Arabidopsis thaliana: one gene and its partner. The protein of the gene in region 1 binds, or shares a complex with, the protein of each later gene. Each region holds a gene or a part of one and is shown in the gene's direction. Other genes may lie near its edges.

Region 1 (7,283 bases):
AATATATTATTTGGATATTATTGATTATTGATTTCGTGATTGAATATAGTATTTTTAGGGATGAAATGTGATCATATTTTGATTTTAAAAACGACATAAATTCCTTACTTTTGTTGAATGGTTTATATTGAAGTGAATTAATTTTATTGAACGGTTTAGATTGAATCGGATCATATAAAGTTTAGGAGGTTGTTAATACCAAATTACCCTTAATGATTTTGAATATCAGAGAACAAAATCCAAAATTGAAATCAAAATTGAGGCCAAATTAAACAAACTTTCAATTTGTACTTCCCTTAAAATAATAAAGGGATATTAGTTATCATCCGAGAAACCTGGCGAGTATATGTTCTCACTGAAATATATGTTTTAATCACAAGAGAAACATCAACCAAGTTTATACTATGTCTGAAATAAATGTAGTCATATATGACAAATATACAGATAATACAACGTTATTTTACGTTATTTTTTTTTTCTTTTACCGTTAAAGTTCAAAATTTAATTACTAATGATGAACTTTTAAATATATTTACGTATAAAATAATCAAACATAGATTTAAAATAATTGTGACTATATGTCTCAAGTACAGTTAACTCGACCGATTAAAAAGATTATTATTGTTTGATTCTTATTAGAATTGAATTTTGGTGTTATGTTCTTTTTGTTAAAGGGTTTAGTTTTGGTATTATTAGGTTAGAAAGAGATATTGTACGCTTTGTAAAATCATTTTAATTAAGCAAATAATAATGTCTTGGTTGCCTCCAACAGACACTCGAACATGATTGTTTCTGTTAACTTCCGTTAATTTAGTTTTCTGATCACAAACACGAACTCGTGGGTCGGTTTATTTTTATTTCCGAGGTCAAATATTATAATGACTGACCGGGAATATACTTTCTTGATAAGAAAGTCATTATTTACACATTAGGGTTTTTAAGAGATTAAATATAATTTTCAATCTAAAGCATCTGCAATGATCATCAACTGAAGAAAATTATGATGAAAAGATTTGAGAATTTACATTCAACGACTAAACGAGTATGAATATATATGAATCAGATAACTTTTATTTTTAAAAATATGCATCATGATGGTCATGGCCTCATGGGCTATCAATTGTAAAGTCAAACCCTTTCAAGAAAACGTGGCAAGGTCATGTGTATGTACATTTGCCCACCAATGATTTGGTTCTATTGTTTTATGCTAATACGATGATTATTAGATAACATTCTCTTTGATGAGCACCATAAAAATCAGAAACTAGGTTTAAACTATTTTGGGTTGAAAAAACAAGTATAACTAGTTAGGTTGATAACTGTATACTGTATTTATAATAGAGCATTATTTCTTATAGAAACACAAACACATATATAATCTAGACAGAAGATTCTAAACATTTGATCGAACCATCGAAAATTTAATGTTTAATGGTTTGTATCATTAAGTGCCCCTTTTGTGAAACATTTAGTATTGAAAAGGGCACGTAGCTCCTTGATACTGGTAACGGCTTTTCCATAACATCAAAAGTTCAATTGGACGTTTCAAATCTAATCAATAGTATTTATTAGAGTAAATAAAAGATCCTCTTACGTTTTATAAATCTTATAAGTACACATGTTTGGAATCTCGGAGTATAAAAAGATACTTGGATAAGTGATGGCAGCTAATTGGATAAGTGGTGGACTTAGTTCAATATTTTTATTAAAAGTTTGCATATATATATATATATATATATATATATATATTTTAATAATTAATATTAATTAGAATTTAATTGAGCAATTTCGAGAATATTATTTAAGTTAGGTAAGAATTTTTTTGTACTAATTTATCTGTTTTTATTTTTACGAGAAATTAAAGATAAAGAAAAATTTATAAATTCTTTACTGTCGTTCTTTAACTCTTTTGAAATCGTTGATTATTCGGTTGGAGAAAATATCATATTTTTTATTTTCTTTTTCGAAATTTTGTTTTAAAAAATTATGACAGCTAATTACACGGCATGTAAAAAAGTAAAATATTTACTTTTATTTATATTTGATAAAAAAGGATGACATAATTTTCTGTAATCACCATAAGTCCATAACGTTTGCATTTAAATTATCAAAGACTAAGATAAGCCTAGAATAATTTAAAATGTAAACTATAGTATACGTCAGAACCTACAGATACAACCTTCCTCGTATAATCCCTAAACAGAATTTTAATTAAACATTTCCTTAACTAATTTACTTCTTAATTTAACTTTTAAATTCCTTCCACCATCGAATCACAATCTCTCTCTCTCTCGCTTGCTGTTACTCGCTTTTTCCCAGAACCGGCTTCGATTTTTCTAAAGCAGCCGAAATTTACGATTCCCAGAATTTTCCCTACTGACAAAATTTCACTTCAAATACAAATCTCGTCTTCATGAGTCTTCTTCTTCGTCCAAATTGAATTTTCTCCGCACACGAGAGTTGAATTTTGATTTTCGGCTGTTTATATGGTCTCCGGTCCCTTAGGGTTTTAATTCTTCTGCAGATCTCTCACGATGAGCGTTGCGAAATCCCAAGTATGGCAGCCATGCAAGAAGAAGAGGTCCTCCTCCTGATTCAATAGAGATCTATCTATATATATATAAGAGACCGAGATATATATATAGAGAGAGAGATGGCTTCTCGAACAACGCCTTCACGATCGACTCCTTCACGATCAACGCCTTCTGGTAGTTCTTCTGGTGGTAGGACACGAGTTGGTAAGTATGAGCTTGGACGAACTTTGGGTGAAGGAACTTTCGCTAAGGTCAAATTCGCTAGAAATGTTGAGAATGGTGATAATGTCGCTATTAAGGTTATTGATAAAGAGAAAGTTCTGAAAAATAAGATGATCGCTCAGGTATGTATTATACAATTCTCCAGCTGCTGTGTTCTTATTGGGAATCTGATTTACGCAGTTGTGATATAACCTTTGATTTTGGATTTTGTAGATCAAGCGTGAGATTTCGACGATGAAATTGATCAAGCACCCGAATGTCATTCGTATGTTTGAGGTTTGATTCTGATACTATAAAGCTGAATTCAAAGTTGTGTTGCACGTTTTGGTTGTTGTTGTTGTTCTATAGATTTGTGCTATAAGCTGAGATTCGTTTGAAGTTATGGAACATATTTGTGGTCCCTGGCTAATCATATGTATGTAATATAAGGGATTTGATTATTCTATGTATTTTTTTGGTATCTTTGTAGTTACAGATTCTCTTCTTCTTCTTCTTCTTCTTCTTCTTCTTCTTCTTCTTCTTCTTCTTCTTCTTCTTCTTCTTCTTCTTCTTCTTCTTCTTCTTCTTCTTCAGGTGATGGCTAGCAAAACTAAGATCTACTTCGTTTTGGAATTCGTCACTGGTGGGGAGCTTTTCGATAAAATTGTAAGATTTCATTGAAAGATGTGTTTTTTTTTTCTTAATACTATGTGGAAATGAGATCTTAATTCTTTAGAATTGTCATGTATTAGTCAAGCAATGGGAGATTGAAGGAAGATGAGGCGAGGAAGTATTTCCAACAGCTGATTAATGCGGTTGATTATTGTCATAGCAGGGGAGTTTATCATAGAGACCTTAAGGTTAGGAATCTTACTTTGTGATCCTCTTGCATAGGGTTTCTTGTGAATCAATTGGCATCAGAATAAAAGTTTGATGTGTTTGAATCATGTTGCACATTCTGGTTGCAGCCAGAAAATTTGCTTTTGGATGCTAATGGTGCTTTGAAAGTGTCTGACTTTGGATTGAGCGCTCTACCTCAGCAAGTTCGAGTGAGCATCGAGATATTGATTTCTTTTTCTATCATTTCATTGTAAATATCATAGTTCGATAATTCAGCTACTATGGCTTCTAAGGAGAAAGATTTCCATGATTTATTCAAAAGCTGATTTTGTGACCCTTTTTCTTTAGGAGGATGGGTTACTTCACACAACCTGTGGAACACCCAATTATGTTGCTCCGGAGGTATTAGCAACTGCTACTGAAAACTGACACACAATTTTCTCAAAACTTGAATTCTATTATTTTCTAGTCTCAGTAACCTTCTATATTTTCTCCCTAGGTAATCAACAACAAAGGTTATGATGGAGCGAAGGCTGATTTGTGGTCTTGTGGAGTAATTCTCTTTGTTTTAATGGCTGGTTATTTACCTTTTGAAGATTCTAACCTGACGTCGTTATATAAAAAGGTATTACGCTTGCCTCTTCTTCTTTTGCTTTTCTTTTGATACATATCATTTTACATGCTATCAGAAAGGCTTCAAGGTCTAGGTGCATTTGGGTGGCTGTATAAAAGCCTCTGTCATTTTTGTATGAGACGTATATAGCATAAAAGCCACCTGATTTTCTTTCTTCATAATTACAGATATTCAAAGCAGAATTTACTTGCCCTCCCTGGTTCTCTGCAAGTGCTAAGAAGTTAATCAAAAGAATTCTGGATCCCAATCCAGCAACGGTATATTTTTCTTACCCTATTATATAATTTATATTAGAGGATCTCTCCTTTGAAGAGGCAAAAGCTTCTATAGGATTGAGTAGATCTGAAGGCTTACACTGATTTTTTATATTGGGCAGAGGATTACATTTGCTGAGGTCATTGAAAATGAGTGGTTTAAAAAAGGGTATAAAGCACCTAAATTTGAGAATGCTGATGTCAGCCTTGATGATGTTGATGCAATCTTTGATGACTCAGGGGTAAGGCTAGTGTTCTTTTGTTTGTTTTTTTCGGTACTTTGTCCGGGATGATTGCTCAGTTGTTTTTGTTTGTTAATAGGAGTCTAAGAATCTTGTTGTGGAGAGGCGAGAAGAAGGACTCAAAACACCAGTAACGATGAATGCTTTTGAGCTCATCTCGACATCCCAGGGTCTCAATCTCGGTTCACTTTTCGAAAAACAAATGGTACAGAAGTCTGATACGTAAAGCTGGTCTTTAAATTTCGTCCCCCAAGGCTCTTATTTTGTTGACAATTTTTAACTATCTTTTTGCGGTTTTGGTCAAACCTAATAAGAAGTAGCTTTGCCACAAAATTTTAGTGACCAATACTTTTCTTTGGAAGCCCGTACTTAGTTTGATAGAAGTCGTCATTCTGATTGATAAGCTTCTCTGATTTCAGGGGCTGGTGAAACGAAAAACTCGATTTACTTCCAAATCTTCGGCTAATGAGATAGTTACAAAAATTGAGGCTGCGGCAGCACCTATGGGGTTTGATGTCAAGACAAATAACTACAAGGTTAGAATACTGTTACGTATTTACCCAATGCTGTGGAGTTGTGTATTGGTTTGTTGCTTCTGAATAGACCCTTTAACCATTTCTCAACTCCTTCAGATGAAGCTGACAGGAGAGAAATCAGGCCGCAAGGGTCAGTTGGCAGTTGCCACTGAGGTTAGCTTTCACAATGACCAGTGATCACCCTTTGTATGGTTGGCTGAACCTAATTTAAGTTAATTGACATCTACCTTCAGGTTTTTCAAGTTGCTCCATCTCTTTACATGGTTGAAATGCGAAAATCAGGGGGTGACACATTGGAATTCCACAAGGTATGCAAGGGTTATTAATGCTGATCAGGTTGTATCAAACCCGAGCTTGTCAAATGGTCTTCCAGTAACTGATGTTTGAATCTTTACCTTTTTGCATCCTTTCTTGCTCTTCTTTTAGTTTTACAAGAACCTTACCACGGGACTTAAGGACATTGTTTGGAAAACCATCGACGAAGAGAAAGAGGAAGGAACCGATGGTGGTAAGTATCTGCCTTGAATACTCTGTTTTTTAGATAAAGCTCCTAGAAAAGGAGAAACTAACGAAACATGTAAACACAAATCCTGTTTTGTTTCTTCATGTTTCAGGTGGTACTAATGGTGCCATGGCTAACCGGACAATTGCAAAACAGTCGACATAAGCTGTTTACTTTTTTCTAATATAGATTTTGTTCGTTATAAATTACTATAGTAGTACGGAGTGGTTTTGAAGTTAATACAAAAGGAAGCGTCAAGAAGTGGAGCAGAAGCAGTTTGAAACTATATTGGGGAATGGGGATTATTGATATTTTAATCATGTTTGATTCCATGGAATGTTGTGAATAGCATATGCGTGTTGCGAGGTTCTTGGCTTGAATCGATTAACCGGAAAGTAAAAGCTTTACAGATTTGGTTTTGCAATTTCTATATTGTCGGACGCTGAGATTCGATAGATATTTCAGTTCAAATGTACTGAAAACAAACTAACACTTGTGTGTGAACCAAATCGAAATTTATTTTCATAATTTTAAAACCTGAAAAAGGAAAGCGGACTGAAAACCAATATCAGTGTAGACAAAACAAACTGAATATATAGCATGACTTGAAGTTAGTGAGATTTTAAAACCAAAATCAAGGAAAGAAAAATATCAATAAAGATTATGTCGGACCAAATACTATAACAAAAATTTAGAGATGGAAAACTTGGTGGCCAAGTTACTCTGTATTAATAATTGAGGGCGAAGAAGATGTGAACAAGAACACCAATTCTTCAATTAGGGGTTTTGTTATTCTTCTGTATTACTCTCTTGTTTATTGCTAAGAAACAGGTAAGGCTGTAGCTAAGAGTGTGGAGGAGGAGGAGGTTGGTCTTCATAATTTGGAAACAACTAATGTGGATGTGGATGAGGAGTTTGTTCCTCACAGTTTGGATGAAGCTAAGGCTGTTGTGGATGTTGTAGATGTGGAGGAGGAGGTTGGTCCTGTTGGTTTAGAAACAGCTAAGGCTGTTGTGGATGTGGAGAAAGAGTTTGGTCCTCGTGGTTAGTGGCGGAGGCAAAGTTTTTCTTCATGGGGGTCATTTTATATATATATATAAAGTATAAATTGTTTCAAAATAAAACTAAATAGTCTATTTTTTAATTGAAATATATATATATATATAGTTTTAGAAATGTTTCACTTTTCAATTAGAATATGCATGTTCTTCATTTTTTTTTGGTTTTCAGTTGTATTAAGTATTTTTTATCCTCAAAATATTGTTTTTCTATCAAAATGTTTAGTATAATGTGGAGATTGATTAGTTGTTGTGTTTACCTTGATCTATGATTTTTTAATTAAAGAGATCGAATGAATATGAAAGATGTTACAGATTTTTAGCCAACAAAAATGAAAAATCAAAACTAAAGTTGTGGAAAATGAATATGTATGGGGTCAAATACAGAAATTGATCACATGACATGGGGGTCATTCTATAAACTTAACCCAAAATATCTACTAATTAATATATAAACTTACCTTATAATAATAAAAATATAA
Region 2 (6,014 bases), on another chromosome or scaffold:
GATTCTACAATCTGGTACAATCAAACAAAGAAACCAAAAGAAACAACAAAATGATCAACAATCTCAAGGAGATCAAAACTCTAAGGACTATAGTCAACAGCAGAAATTTCTACCTTATTAAGCATATCCAAATCATATGCACGAACCATCTTCATCAATGGAATAAACACTCTCCACACAAATAGCTGCAACGCATTATGATTATCCGCAGCAACAAAGCCTGCTTCAACCTCATAACCATCAATTAAACAATTCTGTAATCACTAACACATCATACATATCTAAAAATTCAAAATTGGTAACTCACCAAAATTCTTTAGTAGATGACAAAGCCCAGCCACCAATGAAGCTATGTGGTTGCAATCATCAGAATCAAATCTCTTGTCCCCATTTACCGTATCCTATTCAAAAACATGTTCAAATCTTAAATTGAACAATCCGAAGCAAATTGCCGAAGTGTGAAACAATAAACCAATCAATCAATACCTCTAAACGAAAAGGGAATTGCTCAATGAGAGATTCGAAAAGAGTTGAAGGAGATACGCCTGTGGAGCTTAAAACACAGTCAAGGAAAGCAGGAATAGCTGCTGGTGGAACTTGCTTGAAGCTCAGTGACAATGAAGTAATCACTGACGAACCCATTTCAATTGAAGCTTCGAACTTCAAAAAAATTGGCTGCAAGCAGCCAGAATAGATGAAGAAACGTAAACGAATTTGAAATTAGTACAGAGGGAAGTGTTACGAGGAATCTCTCTGTTAAACCCTTTCAAATAATTTTCATGGCTTAGGACAGATAAACCCTAGTCGTATAATTAGGGGGGAAATTAGAATTATTGATAAGGGCTTTCTTGGGCTTAACTTAGTATGATTGGGCCGTATGGGATAGACTTCAGGAGAAGAAAAAAAAAAAAAAACCGGAAATTGTTCGGGGGATTGAACCCGACGTGAATCGAACACGCAACCTTCTGATCTGGAGTCAGACGCGCTACCATTGCGCCACGGATCCGGATGTTATTATGTTGCATTTATAAAATTATAATACCGTAGTATACGCAAATTAAACAAAACATTTTGAGGACGCGTTCCCAACACGGCCGGTGACCAAAGAGTCAATTTAAGCCCGCTTTAAAGATATCAAAATGATATAAAACTCTAATTGATCGAGTTAACGGCAGGAGAATCAAAGCTACTAATCATAATCAAGAAATTTAATATATATACGCTATTATTATTGTTTTGAACGATAAACACGTGGTCTGGTCGTGATTAAGGTCCTAATTATGTCAACGTTTGCCTGCCACATTGCAGACCGAAGTACTAATTCCACACCGACTGGTCTACGACATATTTAATTCATAAACACAATACTTTATAATTAAATTGATTCTTGTAGAGATTTGGCTTCATGATCTGATTTATTTAGTTAATAACCATTTCAACAGATAATTACAGTTTAGAGCCTTTTTCCAGTTGTCAAGAGTGTTATGGTTTTAAAATGGCACCCTGTAAATATCACATATGTTAGTGGATTTATTTTACCAAAGAAACAAAAAATGTTAATGGATTAAAAAACTTGTGTTTTTTTAGATAGCAAAACCAAAAGAAGATATGGTGACCACTAACACGATCAGTCGAAGACAAATGTTTCCCAGACTTTATTATTGGCGTTTCCATTTTGCATATTAGTCAAATTATGGAGCATCGCAAATATCTAATAAACTAACTATATAAAAAGTTATTATAATACAGGGTTACCAATTCCGTATATTCAGAATATTCCTAAGAGGTGCCATTTTGACTAATAAAATGGACGGATCTTTGATTTATTCCGGAAGTGAATGGATATTAGAAGAAACAAAAGAAATTTTGAATTTCTTGTCCAAAAAATATTTTTCCCATTCTTAGTATACAGAAACATAGAAAATATCGTGTATGCTTACGTAACAATCAAGTTGTAAAAAGAAAAAAAGACAGAAGATAAATAGTACAGAATGAACATAACAGAAATCAATCTATGGAATTAGGTACAATTAGGTTCGGTCTAACTGAAATTACATGACGACAGAAAAAACTGAACTAAACGCCGATTCTATTAACTTCCAAAACTGACTCGTCTCACACGCGCTTACTATGATTCACACGTGCGAATATGCCATCATATAAGCGCTACTAAAATTCATTCCAAAGGAAAAAGAAAAATAAATAATCGATCTCAACCGTCCGATCATCCATCTTGCCATCACCGTTCACCAATCTTCTTCGTCTCCTCTCTCTTTCTCTCTTTTTGCTGTTTCTAGCTCCTCTCTCTCTGGATCTCGCCGGCGAACCGTTTCTCTTGGGTGGTGAGTGTTGCTTCTTATTTTTAAGAATCTTTTTCTTTTATTTCCATCGAATTTCGTTTTTTTGAGTTTGATTTTTGGCCTGTGGAATTCTCGATGTTTCTACATTGATCGTCTGGTTTCGAATCGTGTTTTACTGGTACAATTTTGATTCCATCTCCGTATCTTATGGATTCGAAGAACTTTGTGTTTTTTTTTTCTTTCTTCATTGATGCTACTTTGCTAGGGTTTACACTTTTTTCTTCCATGGTAAAAAAATTTGAGCAAAGTTGTTGAGATTCTTCTAGACTGTTTTCAATTTTACGTTTCACAAAGATTTTTTTAGATGATTTGTTTCTAATGAAATGGCATTGTTTGTGTTCTGTTTCCATATGTGTAGATTTTGAAAATATGTTTGTGATGATTGTGCAGTAAACAGTAGCAATCAAGCTATAGAATCTCAGATATCGCTGAATTAGCTGTTGGATTTTATCCGCCTTTTCTTCGTTATCCGGGGCTCGGGTATAAGGTTTCATCGTCTTATTTCATCTGTAAATGGGCTGCTTCCACTCAAAGGCAGCAAAAGAATTTCGAGGACACGAAGACCCTGTTAAGCTTGCCTCTGAGACAGCTTGTAAGTTTACTCGCGCTATAAGTTTAAACCTCCTCTAGATTCATTTCTCTCAAAGCTGCATGTTCATTTGTTTTCTGATATGAGATGAGAATCATCAGTTAGATTCAAATCATTCTTTCTCTGTTCACTGATTTAGTTTATCTCCGGTTTGGATTTTTTTAGTTTTGTGTTTTGGAGTCTTTGTCTGCCTAACAATTTCTAGTAATGATCCTTCAAAGTTGGTTAACACTCTATCTCATGTTTCTTGTTACCAATACCATCACCTTAATCTTGTTCCTTAACTTGTCAAGACGAGTTCTCTCTCCATGCAAATTCTAAATGTGAATTATTAGTCTCTTTGTTTGTTTGTTTGTTTGTTCCTGGTAATTCTTTGTTTTGATCTCGTAGTGTTGCTTGTTTTTTTCTCTTTTCCAGTTAGTGTGAGTGAGGTTGAAGCATTATTTGAGCTATTCAAGAGCATAAGCAGTTCGGTTGTTGATGATGGTCTGATTAACAAGGTACAAAGTTTGTTTCTTTTGACCCAATTTGGATCTTTTCATGACCCCATCGTTGTATCTTTTTGTTCTTTACGCTATTCATCTACAGTATTTTTCAACTTAGTTGACTTTATTTGAGCAATAATTATTCTTCCATGACGATATGTCTGTTCCATATTGCATCGATTCAATGTATCGTAGCCCTTAATGTTTGACTTGAACTTAACTTATTTTATTGATTGCTTTGATTTTGAATTTTGAAGCCTTCATGGCCCACCTTGTTTATGTTGTTTTTTAATCCTGGCTTCACATGTATGCAGGAGGAGTTTCAACTTGCTTTGTTCAAAAGCCGGAAGAGGGAGAATATATTTGCTAATAGGGTAAAATCTTAATTCTTCAGGCTTTTACAAGATTCATCTTCTGGAAGAGTGATCTAAACCAAGATAATATGTCCATTATCCTAAACAATATTGCTTTTCCGCAGATATTTGATATGTTTGATGTTAAACGAAAAGGAGTCATCGATTTCGGGGACTTTGTAAGATCACTCAATGTTTTCCACCCCAATGCTTCTCTAGAAGACAAAATAGATTGTAAGTTGACATAAGATAGTTTCATATATAGGTGTTTATTGAAGCTTTTGTGAAGAGATTTATTGATTCTGGTCTGCCATTTTTTCTCAGTTACGTTTAGGCTTTACGACATGGACTGCACGGGTTACATTGAACGACAAGAGGTAATACTAACTTGCAAGCTTTGAATACTAGTCATGATAGATCTTTGCCATGTTCTTGAGTATTCATCTTTTACTTAATAACTTTGCAAGAAATCGTTAATGAATGTGATATATTTGCAGGTCAAGCAAATGTTGATCGCGCTTCTCTGCGAATCTGAAATGAAACTGGCTGATGAAACCATAGAGATAATACTCGATAAGGTTTGTTGTTGTCTAAGGCTTTATTTTTCTAGATGGTATACATTTAGAGATGATGTTCTTAATGTGGTTTCCTTCGTCCTTCTCATATATGAACAGACATTTGAAGATGCAGACGTGAATCAAGATGGAAAAATTGATAAATTAGAGTGGAGTGATTTCGTAAACAAAAATCCATCATTGCTTAAGATCATGACTCTTCCATATCTCAGGTATATTACAAATTGCCTTTTATGGAAACCAAAGAAAACTGAAAAATGCCAAATGAAATGTCATATTAACTTGTACATAAACAATGCAGGGATATTACGACAACGTTTCCGAGTTTTGTCTTCCATTCGGAGGTCGATGAGATTGCCACATGAAGAAACAAACTGGTTTAAGACCGAGTAGATTGCCACGAGTTGGAAGAACAAGTCTGAGCTAATCGGTGTAATCAACATCTGTTTGTAAACAGTAGTAGAGCATATTCTCTTGAAATTGTTTGGGTTACTTTTTTCTTCTCACAACAGTTTAAAATTTTGGGTTTTTAGCTTACAAAAAAAAAAAAAGAAGAAGCGCGTAATCACCAATCCTTCACTTCATATAGTTAGGAAATGTTAATGAGTTTGTACATATTACATCATACGTTTGTTGTAATTGTTTTTTTTCAAGTAAAAAAGTAAAGATTTGTTACGTTTACTCGGGGTTCTAATTGTTCCAATGGAATCTTATACTGCAAAAACGTGAATTTGAGATTTTGTTGGGTCCTTAACCGCAAAAGCGAAAGTACGAATGTCCTAGGACCCGACCCGATGAAATTTACAGTCTTGCCACTCTTCTCTTGTTACAGTGTTCCTCTCTTCTCTCTCGATTTCGAAGTTTCCAGCAATTTAGGGTTCTTTCTCGATTGGAGAATTCGTATGTTGTTATCATGTTCTCGTCATTGTTGTGCTTTCTTTGTTAAATTCTAGATTTGGAATCGAAATTCTAGACTAATGTTTAGGAAACGGAACTTAGTTCTAGAATCATTTCGTCGATTCGATAGCGGTAACGTAGAAACCCTAATTTCATGGGTCTTGTGTAGTCGCACCTCAAAGCCGTCTCTGTTCTGTACTAGTGTTAAACCTGCTAGATTAAACTGGGAAGTTTCTTCTCAAGTAATTCTCAAGAAGAAGCTAGAAACAGCTCTTAAAGATCACCGTGTAGATGATGCTTGGGACGTGTTTAAAGATTTCAAACGCCTCTATGGATTTCCAGAGAGTGTAATCATGAACAGATTTGTTACTGTGTTGTCTTACTCGTCTGATGCTGGTTGGCTTTGTAAGGCTAGTGATCTTACTCGTTTGGCTTTGAAGCAAAATCCAGGTATGTTAAGTGGCGATGTGTTAACAAAGTTGTCGTTGTCTCTAGCGAGAGCTCAGATGGTTGAATCTGCTTGTAGTATCCTTCGAATAATGCTGGAGAAGGGATATGTTCTAACCTCAGATGTATTGAGGCTTGTTGTGATGCATATGGTGAAAACAGAGATTGGGACTTGCTTAGCTTCGAATTATTTGGTTCAGGTTTGTGATCGTTTTGTGGAGTTCAATGTGGGGAAAAGAAATAGCAGCCCCGGGAATGTTGTGAAGCCTGATACGGTCTTGTTTAATCTTGTACTTGGTTCTTGTGTG

Evidence for each region.
Region 2: CIPK23 (region 1) and CBL1 share a complex: the UniProt entries of both Arabidopsis thaliana proteins name them as parts of the K(+)-channel calcium-sensing kinase/phosphatase complex.

Annotation. Positions count from the first base shown.
Region 1 is NC_003070.9:10,652,617-10,659,899, forward strand, and holds CIPK23 (CBL-interacting protein kinase 23), read left to right. Parts: upstream 1-2,183; 5' UTR 2,184-2,653; coding exon 2,654-2,878; intron 2,879-2,969; coding exon 2,970-3,032; exon of another isoform or gene 3,033-3,171; intron 3,172-3,329; coding exon 3,330-3,401; intron 3,402-3,487; coding exon 3,488-3,595; intron 3,596-3,703; coding exon 3,704-3,784; intron 3,785-3,923; coding exon 3,924-3,977; intron 3,978-4,074; coding exon 4,075-4,200; intron 4,201-4,376; coding exon 4,377-4,466; intron 4,467-4,585; coding exon 4,586-4,705; intron 4,706-4,784; coding exon 4,785-4,910; intron 4,911-5,124; coding exon 5,125-5,241; intron 5,242-5,337; coding exon 5,338-5,394; intron 5,395-5,474; coding exon 5,475-5,549; intron 5,550-5,667; coding exon 5,668-5,749; coding exon of another isoform or gene 5,750-5,766; exon of another isoform or gene 5,767-5,855; coding exon 5,856-5,908; 3' UTR 5,909-6,284; downstream 6,285-7,283. UniProt on the Arabidopsis thaliana protein: CIPK serine-threonine protein kinases interact with CBL proteins. Binding of a CBL protein to the regulatory NAF domain of CIPK protein leads to activation of the kinase in a calcium-dependent manner.
Region 2 is NC_003075.7:9,814,269-9,820,282, forward strand, and holds CBL1 (calcineurin B-like protein 1), read left to right. Parts: upstream 1-2,085; 5' UTR 2,086-2,342; exon of another isoform or gene 2,343-2,478; intron 2,479-2,718; exon of another isoform or gene 2,719-2,750; 5' UTR 2,751-2,873; coding exon 2,874-2,952; intron 2,953-3,366; coding exon 3,367-3,449; exon of another isoform or gene 3,450-3,712; coding exon of another isoform or gene 3,713-3,748; coding exon 3,749-3,808; intron 3,809-3,912; coding exon 3,913-4,021; intron 4,022-4,111; coding exon 4,112-4,164; intron 4,165-4,284; coding exon 4,285-4,365; intron 4,366-4,461; coding exon 4,462-4,755; 3' UTR 4,756-5,085; downstream 5,086-6,014. Other genes in the region: AT4G17610 (tRNA/rRNA methyltransferase (SpoU) family protein), read right to left, coding at 1-11, 114-220, 308-401, 487-642; AT4G17616 (Pentatricopeptide repeat (PPR) superfamily protein), read left to right, coding at 5,340-6,014. UniProt on the Arabidopsis thaliana protein: Acts as a calcium sensor involved in the signaling pathway during growth and development and in response to abiotic stresses. May function as a positive regulator of salt and drought responses and as a negative regulator of cold response.